3 linked regions of the Bombyx mori genome follow. The protein of the gene in region 2 binds, or shares a complex with, the protein of the main gene of each other region. Links are inferred from orthologs where the notes say so. Each region holds a gene or a part of one and is shown on either strand. Other genes may lie near its edges.

Region 1 (3,500 bases), on a different chromosome or scaffold from region 2:
GGGCCAGCCGCGCCGAGCCCCCGCACCCGCCGCCCGCGCTCCGCGATATGTACCACAGCGGAGCCGGCAGAGAGAACTCACTGAGCATCTGCAAATACAGAAATAACGTAAATAAAATGACTAAACACAGATATTTTTTTAAATGTAATAATAATAGTAGGTAATTAATTGGTAGGCAGCGGCTTGGCTCTGTCCCTGACATTGCTAAAGTTCATGGGCGACGTTAACCACTCACAATCAAACAGACAAAGAGCCAACAACTTGTTCATCACACAATGTTTGCCCGATGTGGGAATAGAACCCACGACCCTCAGCGCAACAGTCAGGACCACTAACCACTGCACCACCGAGTCAGTCAGTTAAACTTTCTTTCGTTTTAGTAGCAATTGTCGAGGTTTATTGTCATTATTTTTTGGGATATTCAGTTTTTAAAATTCCGTTTAAAAATTAAAATCGAAATCTAAAATCGATAATCGAAAATCTTGTCTGTGATTATTGTCAATTTTCATCATTATAGGGTGAGCGAGCATAAGTAAGTTTCTATTGAACAATTATATTTTTGTGATACTTTAATTCCTTTATAAATTATAGTGCGTAAAGAAAATAATGAATGTCTCATACTTGCAATAAACATAGCCCAGGAAACTCCTTGGCGAATTCATCGACAAGAGGTGAATGTATGTGAATATTCGCGCCGGGGGCCACAACGTATACATTCCCTTCGCACAATGGATAGATCACCGTCGCTTTAGCCCAATACACTAAATGTCCAGTTAGTTGAGAGACCTAGAATAATTCGAAAAACATTTTACACAATTAAACCTGAAACGAAATATTATTGTCGCTCATAGAGCTAGCTTAGTTTGGTTTACTTTTTTATTTAAAGATTGGTATTCATTGTCCCTTTAAATACTACGCAAATATTATTTTAGGGTACAGAACAGTTTAAAAAATTTAATTTAAAGTTTTAATATGTAAGTGATAGAAATTGAAGTGAAGGGTTGTAAAAGGTAATTAATTTTGGTTTTTATTTTTGTACAGGTATGAACGGCATCGATTTTATGACCCACTTGATACTGAGTAGTCACCATTGTCGTTCATGGACATCAGCAACGGTACAGACACCACCAAGCCATTACCGACCAGCCATGTTTATATTTAAGCCTTGAAGAAGGCCGTATCATATCACTATGTGATTATCATTTTTTACCAATCACTTTGCTTTTAAGTACTCAAAACACGAACCGCTAATTGTGCTTATGCATCCTTTTATATCAATTATAATTATTTTATTCCGAGAGTATTCATTGAAACATACAAATGACATGTACACAATATGTATGTTAATTACTAGATAAGACTAGTTTAGTTAGAGTAAATAGTCACAGAACCCTGTTATATGTATACATTATTGATTTGATTATTGATTATAAAATAATGAGAAATTTAGCTCATATTGAATTTCTTAAACCAACTTGCTTTTTAGACTTCCTTTTAATCTAAAAGAACCTTAAAAATAATAAAATTTTGACTTATTTATGGATTTATACTGTTTATACCTGTTTGAATGTCAGATCCGCTTCTATGGCCAGTGTTTGAAGACTTTTTAGAGGGCTATATAGTTTAATAAGTCGCAGCAATGCAGAGCTGCCATCCAGTGGTATCGACGCCAACAAATCATTTGGATTCACCTTAAAGTAAATTAACAAAACAATTCACTAGTACAAGGATACAGTTCTTATATTAGAAACGTCAAATGTAGTAACGGAAAACATTATTGAGAAGAGTATTAAGCAGTAGGCAGCGGCTTGGCTCTGCCCCTGGCATTACTAAATTCCATGGGCGACGGTAGCCACTCACCATCAGGTGGTCTGTATGCCCGTCTGCCTACAAGGGCAATAAAATAAATAAAAAACTTGTGTTCTACTATTTTGATAATATTCTCATTTTAATTTGTTGAAGTCACTTTTCTTTTATGTTTAAAATTTTCAATATTCATAAACACTAAAAAAGTTGTATGTATATTTGATTACTTACAAGTAGTAGCATGCCGTGGTATGGCCTCAGTTTTTGCAAACATTTGTCTATTGTTTCCGGTTCTATTATCAATCCTCTGTTGTGAATTTGATGGGCTTTGTGGGGCAAACAGAAGGATAGAAGCACCCATTTATTTACACGTACTTGAACTATGCCTGAAAATTAAAGCAAAAGCTAATTTCATATCTAAATTGTTTTTGTATTTAAACCAAGTTATCAGAATCACTTGTTACTAATTAGGTATGATGTTGTCGTGACTTAAATGGAAAGGGCGTCTGGTGTACTTATATAGTGCGACTTGACCATTATGGTGTGCAAATTACACAGACAGATATTAATCGTTGCAATACGCACATAACATGTTCTGATGAGTCTGTGCGGTTACCAGCACCCTGCTTTTATTTGCTGCAAAGCCATAATTAATTTCGGTTCGAAGAGAAGACCAGCTGTTATACTATACATATAGTCGAGACATGTCTCATATCATAAAAGCGAGGGTATTTCAAGGGCAACATTCAGACTGTGAAGTTTTTCAATTCCAGTAACCACTTAATACCATGTAGGCCTAGTACAAAAGTTTATTGTACTAGGCCCACCAGTAAAATTTAGTCTAGATATGTTATATTTTAAGAAAAGTGTTTAACCTGTGCTACTTAGTTCCTCAAAGACAGATTTCATGGACCTAGCTAATGAACTCCTTTGTAATATTAAGTGGTAGGCAGACATTGGGCCTCCCTCAAGGCCATTATCTACACTATATGTTGTAGAACTAACAGAATGTCGGAGATTCTCTTCCTCTTCTTCATTATCACCATTAATTTCACTGTCGTTCCTCTCATTCACTTCATCATGAGCAGCTAGCTGTAAAAATATGAAAAAAAAAATTTTTATAGCTTCAGTTGGTGGACGAGCCCACGGTCCACCTGGTGTTAAGAGGTTACCGGAGCTCATAGACATCTACAACGTAAATAAAGCCATATATTGAGTACGAAAGGTCTGATTTTACAGTACAATAGCTACCCCACCCTTCAAACCGAAATGCATTACTGCTTCACGGTAAAAATAGGCAGGGTGGTGATACCTACCCGTGCGGACTCACAAGACGTCCTACCACCAGTAATTACGCAAGTTATAATATTTGGGGTTTGATTTTTATTACACAATGTTATTCCTTCACTGTAGTAGTCAATCGTAAAGATTTGTTAAGTACGTATATCATTAGAAAAATTGGTACTTGCCTGCGGTATTCGAAGACCTTCTTATCCTTTAGGCCACGACAACTTCAAAAATGCAACAACGAAACAAAATCTTTTTTGTCTCCACAACGCTGGGTCGGCAAAGAGAATGGTTCTATTCAATTCTCTTCTATCAGTCCTCATCTCAACACTCACTCCGTTCCTCTCTCTCTCTCTCTCTCTCATATCTTCCATTCACACACTCCATTCATGTCTTCTTCGTTCGAC
Region 2 (3,500 bases):
GTCACGATTCACCCATTTCACAAGAATTAAGGTATTAAGCGTTATGTTGACAATCGTACTAGGGATGGGACAAGTTATGTCACTATTATAATTTATACTTTAATATTATCGATTTTTGGGTACTCACAAGGATTGCAGTAGATTACAGCACAGAGGATGTCCAACCCAGCCCATGCTTTCTTCGCTGGAAGTCAGATGATCGACAACTTTCGCTTTCAGAGCTTTAGCGGTAAGCGCGGCCAGAGACCAGGCGTGCGCGAGGTCACGTTCTCCTTCTTCCGTTGCCACTTTAGCGTTTGTTTCGCACATGTCTGTTTGAAGACATAAAACAAAGAAAAAATCGGAGTGAGTTTTTTTTTTTTAAATCATACCATTCAATCATTTACGGAAATAATTAAAATCACTAAATATATCTTTATGATTTAGACATTTGGTAATTTTTTCAGCTGGATATCAATAGTGCTGACTCTATTAGAGTTGAGACACACGTCGGCTGCGTCGCGGGTGTAAGGCGGCTCGCAAAATATGAATTTCGTCGTTGTTAAACCAAAACCTGCTATGTGCACTTATTGAGATTTTTACTTTTTGACCTTTTCGTATAGTTCACAGCTCTATCACCGTATAAAAAAAACTGCTATGTGTCTATAGCTTTAATATTTATCTATACCTTTCATTTGATATATATAGTTCTTAAAAATTTACCTTCATATAAAAAATTATACGAAAATGTTTTTACTTGTTAATTCAAAATAGTTTTCGCACATAGCAGATTTTGATAACGACGATTTATTAAAGTGACAATTATTCGTGCTGAATTTAGGTTCCAATACTATAGGGTATTTCTAAAACCAATATCAAGACTTACCGATCGGATTATCAGAATTAATTACGTATTTTTCAGCAAGAGTACGATTAAGTGGGAAGAGATCTGTCGCAGCATACAGTACCACTCTAGGCGATGAGCACCCGGATATACTTCCGCGACTGCGGATGCTGCCCGCGCGGCGACCTTGTGCCTTCTGCAACGGACTTCAAACGTCTTAATGTATTTCACCGCACATACTTATTCTATAAAGTTTTTTTTGCATCGATGAGTCTCACGGCCCACCTAGTGTTACGTAATTACATGAATCCTTGTGTTTTTTTTTTATTGCTTAGATGGGTGGACGAGCTCACAGCCCATCTGGTGTTAAGTTACTGAAGCCCATAGACATCTACAACGTAAATGCGCCACCAACCTTGACATATAAGTTCTAAGGTCTCAAGTATAGTTACAACGGCTGCCCCAGCCTTCGAACCGAAACGCATTACTGCTTCACGGCAGAAATAGGCAGGGTGGTGGTACCTACACGTGCGGACTCAAAAGGTCCTGCCACCAGTAAAAGTAGTATAATGACGATGTAAACGCAACCAGCCACGTCGAAATATGAGACCGAGTTGTCATTTGTATTACTTATATATAATGATAGCGCCACAAATCAAACCAAAGTGCAGGATTGCTTAGTTGCAGAAATAGGCAGGAACGTGATACCAACTCTTTATAAAATATGCTCTACCATCGGTGAAAATCATCTGCTAATGTGTGGCGCGCGATTTGAACGGGGAAGAACAAAAAAGAAAATGGTGCGCCTTGGTGCACGTGAAAGAAATGAAACTTCTGTTACGGTGTGTAGTATAGTGGTTTTCTTCATTTTTCATCCTTAAATCAAATTTATCTTGTAATAGGGAATGCTGTGTATAAGAGAAACGACCTAGTTCGCTTTGTCCTTTCCCACTCTCCACATTCGAGTGGCTCGAGAGACGCTCTATTTTCTCACTCTCGCTCTTTCTAAATTGTATCTTTTCTCTCTAGCCGTAACGAATCTGTCGCGAGTTAAATTTTACTCTCAACGCGCATAAAGAAGTTTCACTTCAAAAAAAAAAGCATAGTGTTGTGTCACATCGATAAATTAAACAATGTTTTTTTGTGGTCATACAGTTGGTAGTATTATTCTAAAATACATTTTACTGTTGGTTACACACACTATTAACATAAACTCAAATTTTCATTCATTGATTCAAACACTACCTTACTCGGGCAATTTTTCGATATTTCCTTCTGAAAGGGGAGGTTAATACTTTCTACCTATCAACAAAAAACACACAATCGTGTTCTTGCAAACACACACACACACACAAACATGATCTTTCATTTAAAATACTGTACTTACCCATCGATCTTGAAAATAGAACGTTGTGATTGAATAGGACGGGTGCTTGTGATGTAATTGCGGGAAGCCCGGCGGGTTCGTCGGCGACGGAGTCGTGGTGGCGTGAGGCGACACAGAACTGTAGCCGGTGTTGAATAAACCCGGCATCAAGGATAACGATGACATTGACCGAGGTGTTCCAGTCTCGTGCTTCAATGACAGCCTCCTGGTGTTCGGGGGACGGTTGAATACCACTAACGTACTAACACCGCACCACTTAGCCCCGCATGTTCGAGGGAAAGGAATACACGAATCGCCTGCATTCTCACACTCCGACTGACTTCTTTGACTCGATTTCATCGAGTCTGTGTCGTCATTCTTCACGGGTATCTAAAACAAGTGAATAAATTTCTTAGTACTAGATAAGAAATCACACAGTGAACATGAAGACGTCGTGGCCTAAAGGATAAGAGTGCTTAGTGCGAGTTTCTTAACGTTCTCGATAGCGTAAAAGTTAAACCAATTTTGTATGCAGTTGGAACAGCGCCCAACGGCAAACGTACGCAAACGATTCCATTCCATACTTATGAGCCATATTTATGAGCTAACTTTTACGCTATCGAGAACGTTAAAAAACTCGCACTAAGCACACAGACGTCCGGTGCATTCGTATCGGTGCGATGCAACGCTGTTCGAATCCCGCGTAGTCAGGTACTAACTTTTCTAATAAAATATTATACGTACTTGACAAATGTTCACGAAATACTTCCACGGTGAATAATATCATAATATCATCGGGAATAACATCGTGTAATAAAATTAAACCGGCCAATTAAAAAAATATGTAATAACTGGTGGTAGGAGGACATCTTGTGAGTCCGCACGGACAACCACCCCACCTGTTTCTGTCGTGAAGCAGTGGTTTCGGTTTGAAGGGTGAGGCAGCCGTTGTACTGTAAAAACTGGGAAATCTTAAAACTCATGTCTCAAGGTGGGTGGAGGCATTTTCGTTGTATATGTTATACCCATCTAAGCATTAAAAAAATCTAAGCTTAGTTTGTTCAATGGTTATTTGTATAATTTGTATATCTTCTATTTCTTTGTTTATGTATATACAGGGTGTATTAGAATATTTACCGAAGAGAAACAAAAACGGTTTCTGAAAACCCTGGATAAAAAAACACAATAATTATAAGTGTTCTGAAACTCACCTCATCAATTGACTTTGCTAATGTTTTTAAACAATGTAACAAACATCTGTGTCCTTCTTTCTTTTTACGATAAGCAGTTCTATTAATGCTTTGCAGTATC
Region 3 (3,665 bases), on a different chromosome or scaffold from region 2:
CAGCCCACTGAGTTTCTCGCCGGATCTTCTCAGTGGGTCGCGTTTCCGATCCGGTGGTAGATTCTGCGAAGCACGGCTCTTGCTAGGGTTCGTGTTAGCAACGTCATCAGGTTTCAGCCCCGTGAGCTCACCTACTAGTTAAGGCGAAGCTGATATAGCCTCTCAAGGCTATCAGATTAGGTGGGAAAAAATAAATAAATATGCAGGCTTATCTTGAAAATGTCGTAAGCCAGATTCAGGCATCTAGCAAATATCTTGTGTTCTGTGATGGCTACCCGCCACAATGGTACCGCTGTGTACGTAATAAAAACTCTTATGAAGCTAAACAAAAAAAATTAATTAAATTTGTGTTCAGATACAGTGAAACGTCTCGTCGTTGGACGCGAACGGACTGTCTGTCATCCGTCCAGGAGCCGGTCAACGACCTCGCCTTCGCTCCGAACCTCGGCCGCTCGTTCCATCTCCTCGCCGTAGCCGCCAAGGACCTGAGAATCATTAAAATCGAACCACTTTCGTGAGTACTTTATTATCTTGTCATTGACATGACTACAGATGATGCAAAGTGTAAAATTTCCGTTAAAATTCACAGAAGGGCCGGTAAGCATATCGACGCTTGAAAGGCAAACGTGACTAAGCGACAATAACTGCTTTGTACATAAATGATAGGCAATAACCGTATTCAATGCGCAAAAAATATATATTACTAGGTCTATTAAAATAATTTCAATCCTACAGCTAGATTCGTTAAAATAGATTTTTTTTCAGGTATTTCAACTTTAAATTAGTCTACTGTAAAGTTCACGCATTGTCGCTTAGTCATGTTTGCCTTTCAAGCGTCGATATGATGATAAGGTACCGTTTGAAAAATATGGTTCATTTCTGCGGCACTATAAACAGAACACCAGCCCGATGGTCAGATCTGGTTCAGAAAGTGGTTGGTGGTAGTGAGAAAGAGAGAGAGAGAAAGAGAGAGAGAGAAAGAGAGAGAGAGAAAGAGAGAGAGAGAAAGAGAGAGAGAGAAAGAGAGAGAGAGAAAGAGAGAGAGAGAAAGAGAGAGAGAGAAAGAGAGAGAGAGAAAGAGAGAGAGAAAGAGAGAGCGAGAAAGAGAGAGAGAGAGAAAGAGAGAGAGAGAAAGAGAGAGAGAGAAAGAGAGAGAGAGAAAGAGAGAGAAAGAGAGAGAGAGAATACACTTTATTGCACACCAAAACACAATTTACATTAAAAAACGGTCAAAAAGCAGATAGATTTGTAACAATAGGCTAAAATCGATCTCTTCGAGACAATCGTTTAACTTAGAGAAATTCTGGAAAATATAAAAATATAGCAGGTATGTTAGTCTATAACCATGCGGTCCATGTCATCTACGACCAAACACTATGGAGGAAAGTAACATGTGGTCACGATCTTTAGCGGTGAGGGAACGATGAAGACAGAATAAATATTGCATTACTTTTGAGCACTTTTTTTATTGCATAGATAGGTGGACGAGCTCACAGCCCACCTGGGGTTAAGTAGTTACCGGAGCCCATAGACATCTACAACGTAAATGCGCCACCCACCTTGAGATATAAGTTCTAAGGTCTCAAGTATAGTTACAGCGGCTGCCCCACACTTCAAACCGAAACGCATTACTGCTTCACGACAGAAATAGGCGGAGTGGTGGTACCTACCCGTGCGGACTCACAAGAGGTCCTACCACCAGTAAAACTTCATTACGTGTATTCTATTTAGTTTGCATTCGTTGGAATATAACATTTAAATTATTATTGTGACGTCACAGTGAATCGTCTATCTCCGCGAACGGTTTGGGCGTGCGGTTCAAGAGTGAAGTAATGGCGGCCTTCGACGAGCACTACTCGTGCGTGTGGAGGGTGTCGTGGAACCCCACCGGGACTCTGCTGGCCTCGTCGGGGGACGACAGCTGCGTCAGACTATGGAATAGTAAGGAATGATAATAACCATGTCAATTGTTCAGTATAATTAAATTTTACTCGATTTCATATCTATTCCAGATGTATAGTTTCCTAAGATATATTCTTCGATCATCGAATGTAGAGTTGTAAACGAATGGTATGATATCAAGTAGTTTTTAAGGATGGGACAACCATTGCAATACAATTGAGAGTTAGACCTCCTTGGGTCAATAAGTGAAATGTTCACTTTGAACTTCTTTGTCTACGGTATGACTCACTGACATATGGCATTGTTTGAGATGATTCCGTTGTATGCCATAGTCAGAGTACATCCCTATTGAGTTGCCGGAATTCATTCTTGATTCTTTTGATGTATTTTCAAATGAGGTGTGTGAAAGCAGTTCTGTGCTGAAGGTTGCGGCTTAGCTGTGCCGTTATTTAACCCACAGACACAGCCCACTGAGTTTCTCGCCGGATCTTCTCAGTGGGTCGCGTTTCCGATCCGGTGGTAGATGCTGCGAGGCACGGCTCTTGCAAGGGTTCGTGTTAGCAACGTCGTCAGGTTTGAGCCCCGTGAGCTCACCTACTAGTTAAGGTTACGCTGAAATAGCCTCTCAAGGCTCTCAGCTTAGGTAGGAAAAAAAAGATTCGTGGTGTCGTGGGACACCGGATAGGAACGAAGTTCCTTATTATAAAAATATTAATTTTAAGTTCTATTCGAGGTATAAAGAAAATAAAACTGGAGGTTTCGCAACAACCCACGGTCATTCGGTAACGTGCGAACTTATTGTGGTACACTTCATTCACGGTTGTTTGTATAAGAGTTAGTGTATTGCGCAAACGAATGCTCTCAGATTGTGGTCAATTAATGACTACAAAAATTGTTATTTTTTGTACGTTATTACAAAGTTAAGTCGTACACTGTGTGCATTACTAATAAAAATCTTACGTTACGGACGTTTTTTCCCGGTTAGGGTACCCTTCCGCATCGTCCCATAATGAAGTTCGTTCCAAAAAAAAAAGCCGTTATTATTACTGATGTGTTGGGACTGGCCAAGTAACGGTTATTGGTTTTTACAGTGCAATACTTGAATCAGTGGAAGTGCGTGGCCGTGTTCAAGAATGAGACGGTGGGCGGAGACAGCGCGCCCGCCGCCCGCGCGCACACCGCCTACACGCGCCTCGCCGCCATGGCCAACCCCGCGCACATGCCCGTGCACTGACGCGACAAGAGGTGAGTGTCATTTTTTTTTCTCCTACCTACGCCGAAAGTTCAGTTTTCCTCCCGCTGTACAGGGAAGAAAGTGTAACTTTTCCTCTCTAGTTACTGACAAGTGCGCATGCGCGTTAGTGTCTACGTCTGCTCTCACGCACCTAAAATTCTCCGCCATTGTTGTGCTCGGGTAATTTGCAATATTGTGTTTAGTGTAAAAGTGAAATAAACAAAAGGCAATAAAATTTAATACTGAAGTATTAAACAAAGATGAGTTCATCAGACAGTTCTTATTCAATTAGTAGTAGTTTATTTAAAAATTAAAAAACAGTTAATTTTCTTTTTTTACGAGTATGGGGGGGCTCCGCCCCCCCTACCCCCTGCCAGGGCTTCGCCCCTGGACCCCGGCTCGGTACTCCACGAACTTTCGGCCTGGTAGGAGAAAAAATAGTATGAGCACCGCGGGAAAAAAGTAGGACATCTCATCCCGCGTGTTTGCAATTTTGGTGCACAATGTACTATATTTTTATTGCTTAGAT

Evidence for each region. Proteins that work in one complex are often made in the same cells at the same time.
Region 1: GATOR2 complex protein WDR59 (region 2) and GATOR complex protein NPRL3 share a complex: the UniProt entries of both Drosophila melanogaster proteins name them as parts of the GATOR complex. The link is inferred for Bombyx mori from reciprocal best matches to the Drosophila melanogaster genes Wdr59 and Nprl3.
Region 3: GATOR2 complex protein WDR59 (region 2) and sec13-like protein share a complex: the UniProt entries of both Drosophila melanogaster proteins name them as parts of the GATOR complex. The link is inferred for Bombyx mori from reciprocal best matches to the Drosophila melanogaster genes Wdr59 and Nup44A.

What each region holds. Positions count from the first base shown.
Region 1 is NC_085124.1:9,506,880-9,510,379, forward strand, and holds part of GATOR complex protein NPRL3, read right to left. Parts: intron 2,899-3,500; coding exon 2,682-2,898; intron 2,193-2,681; coding exon 2,038-2,192; intron 1,692-2,037; coding exon 1,560-1,691; intron 787-1,559; coding exon 622-786; intron 89-621; coding exon 1-88. UniProt on the Drosophila melanogaster protein: An essential component of the GATOR subcomplex GATOR1 which functions as an inhibitor of the amino acid-sensing branch of the TORC1 signaling pathway.
Region 2 is NC_085110.1:13,179,662-13,183,161, reverse strand, and holds part of GATOR2 complex protein WDR59, read right to left. Parts: coding exon 3,401-3,500; intron 2,580-3,400; coding exon 2,211-2,579; intron 1,020-2,210; coding exon 866-1,019; intron 312-865; coding exon 128-311; intron 1-127. UniProt on the Drosophila melanogaster protein: A component of the GATOR complex, which functions as a regulator of the amino acid-sensing branch of the mTORC1 signaling pathway.
Region 3 is NC_085125.1:13,435,909-13,439,573, forward strand, and holds the end of sec13-like protein, read left to right. Parts: intron 1-355; coding exon 356-514; intron 515-1,780; coding exon 1,781-1,941; intron 1,942-2,993; coding exon 2,994-3,136; 3' UTR 3,137-3,165; downstream 3,166-3,665. UniProt on the Drosophila melanogaster protein: Probable component of the nuclear pore complex (NPC). Involved in maintaining the localization of another nucleoporin Mgtor to the nuclear envelope of early meiotic female germline cells.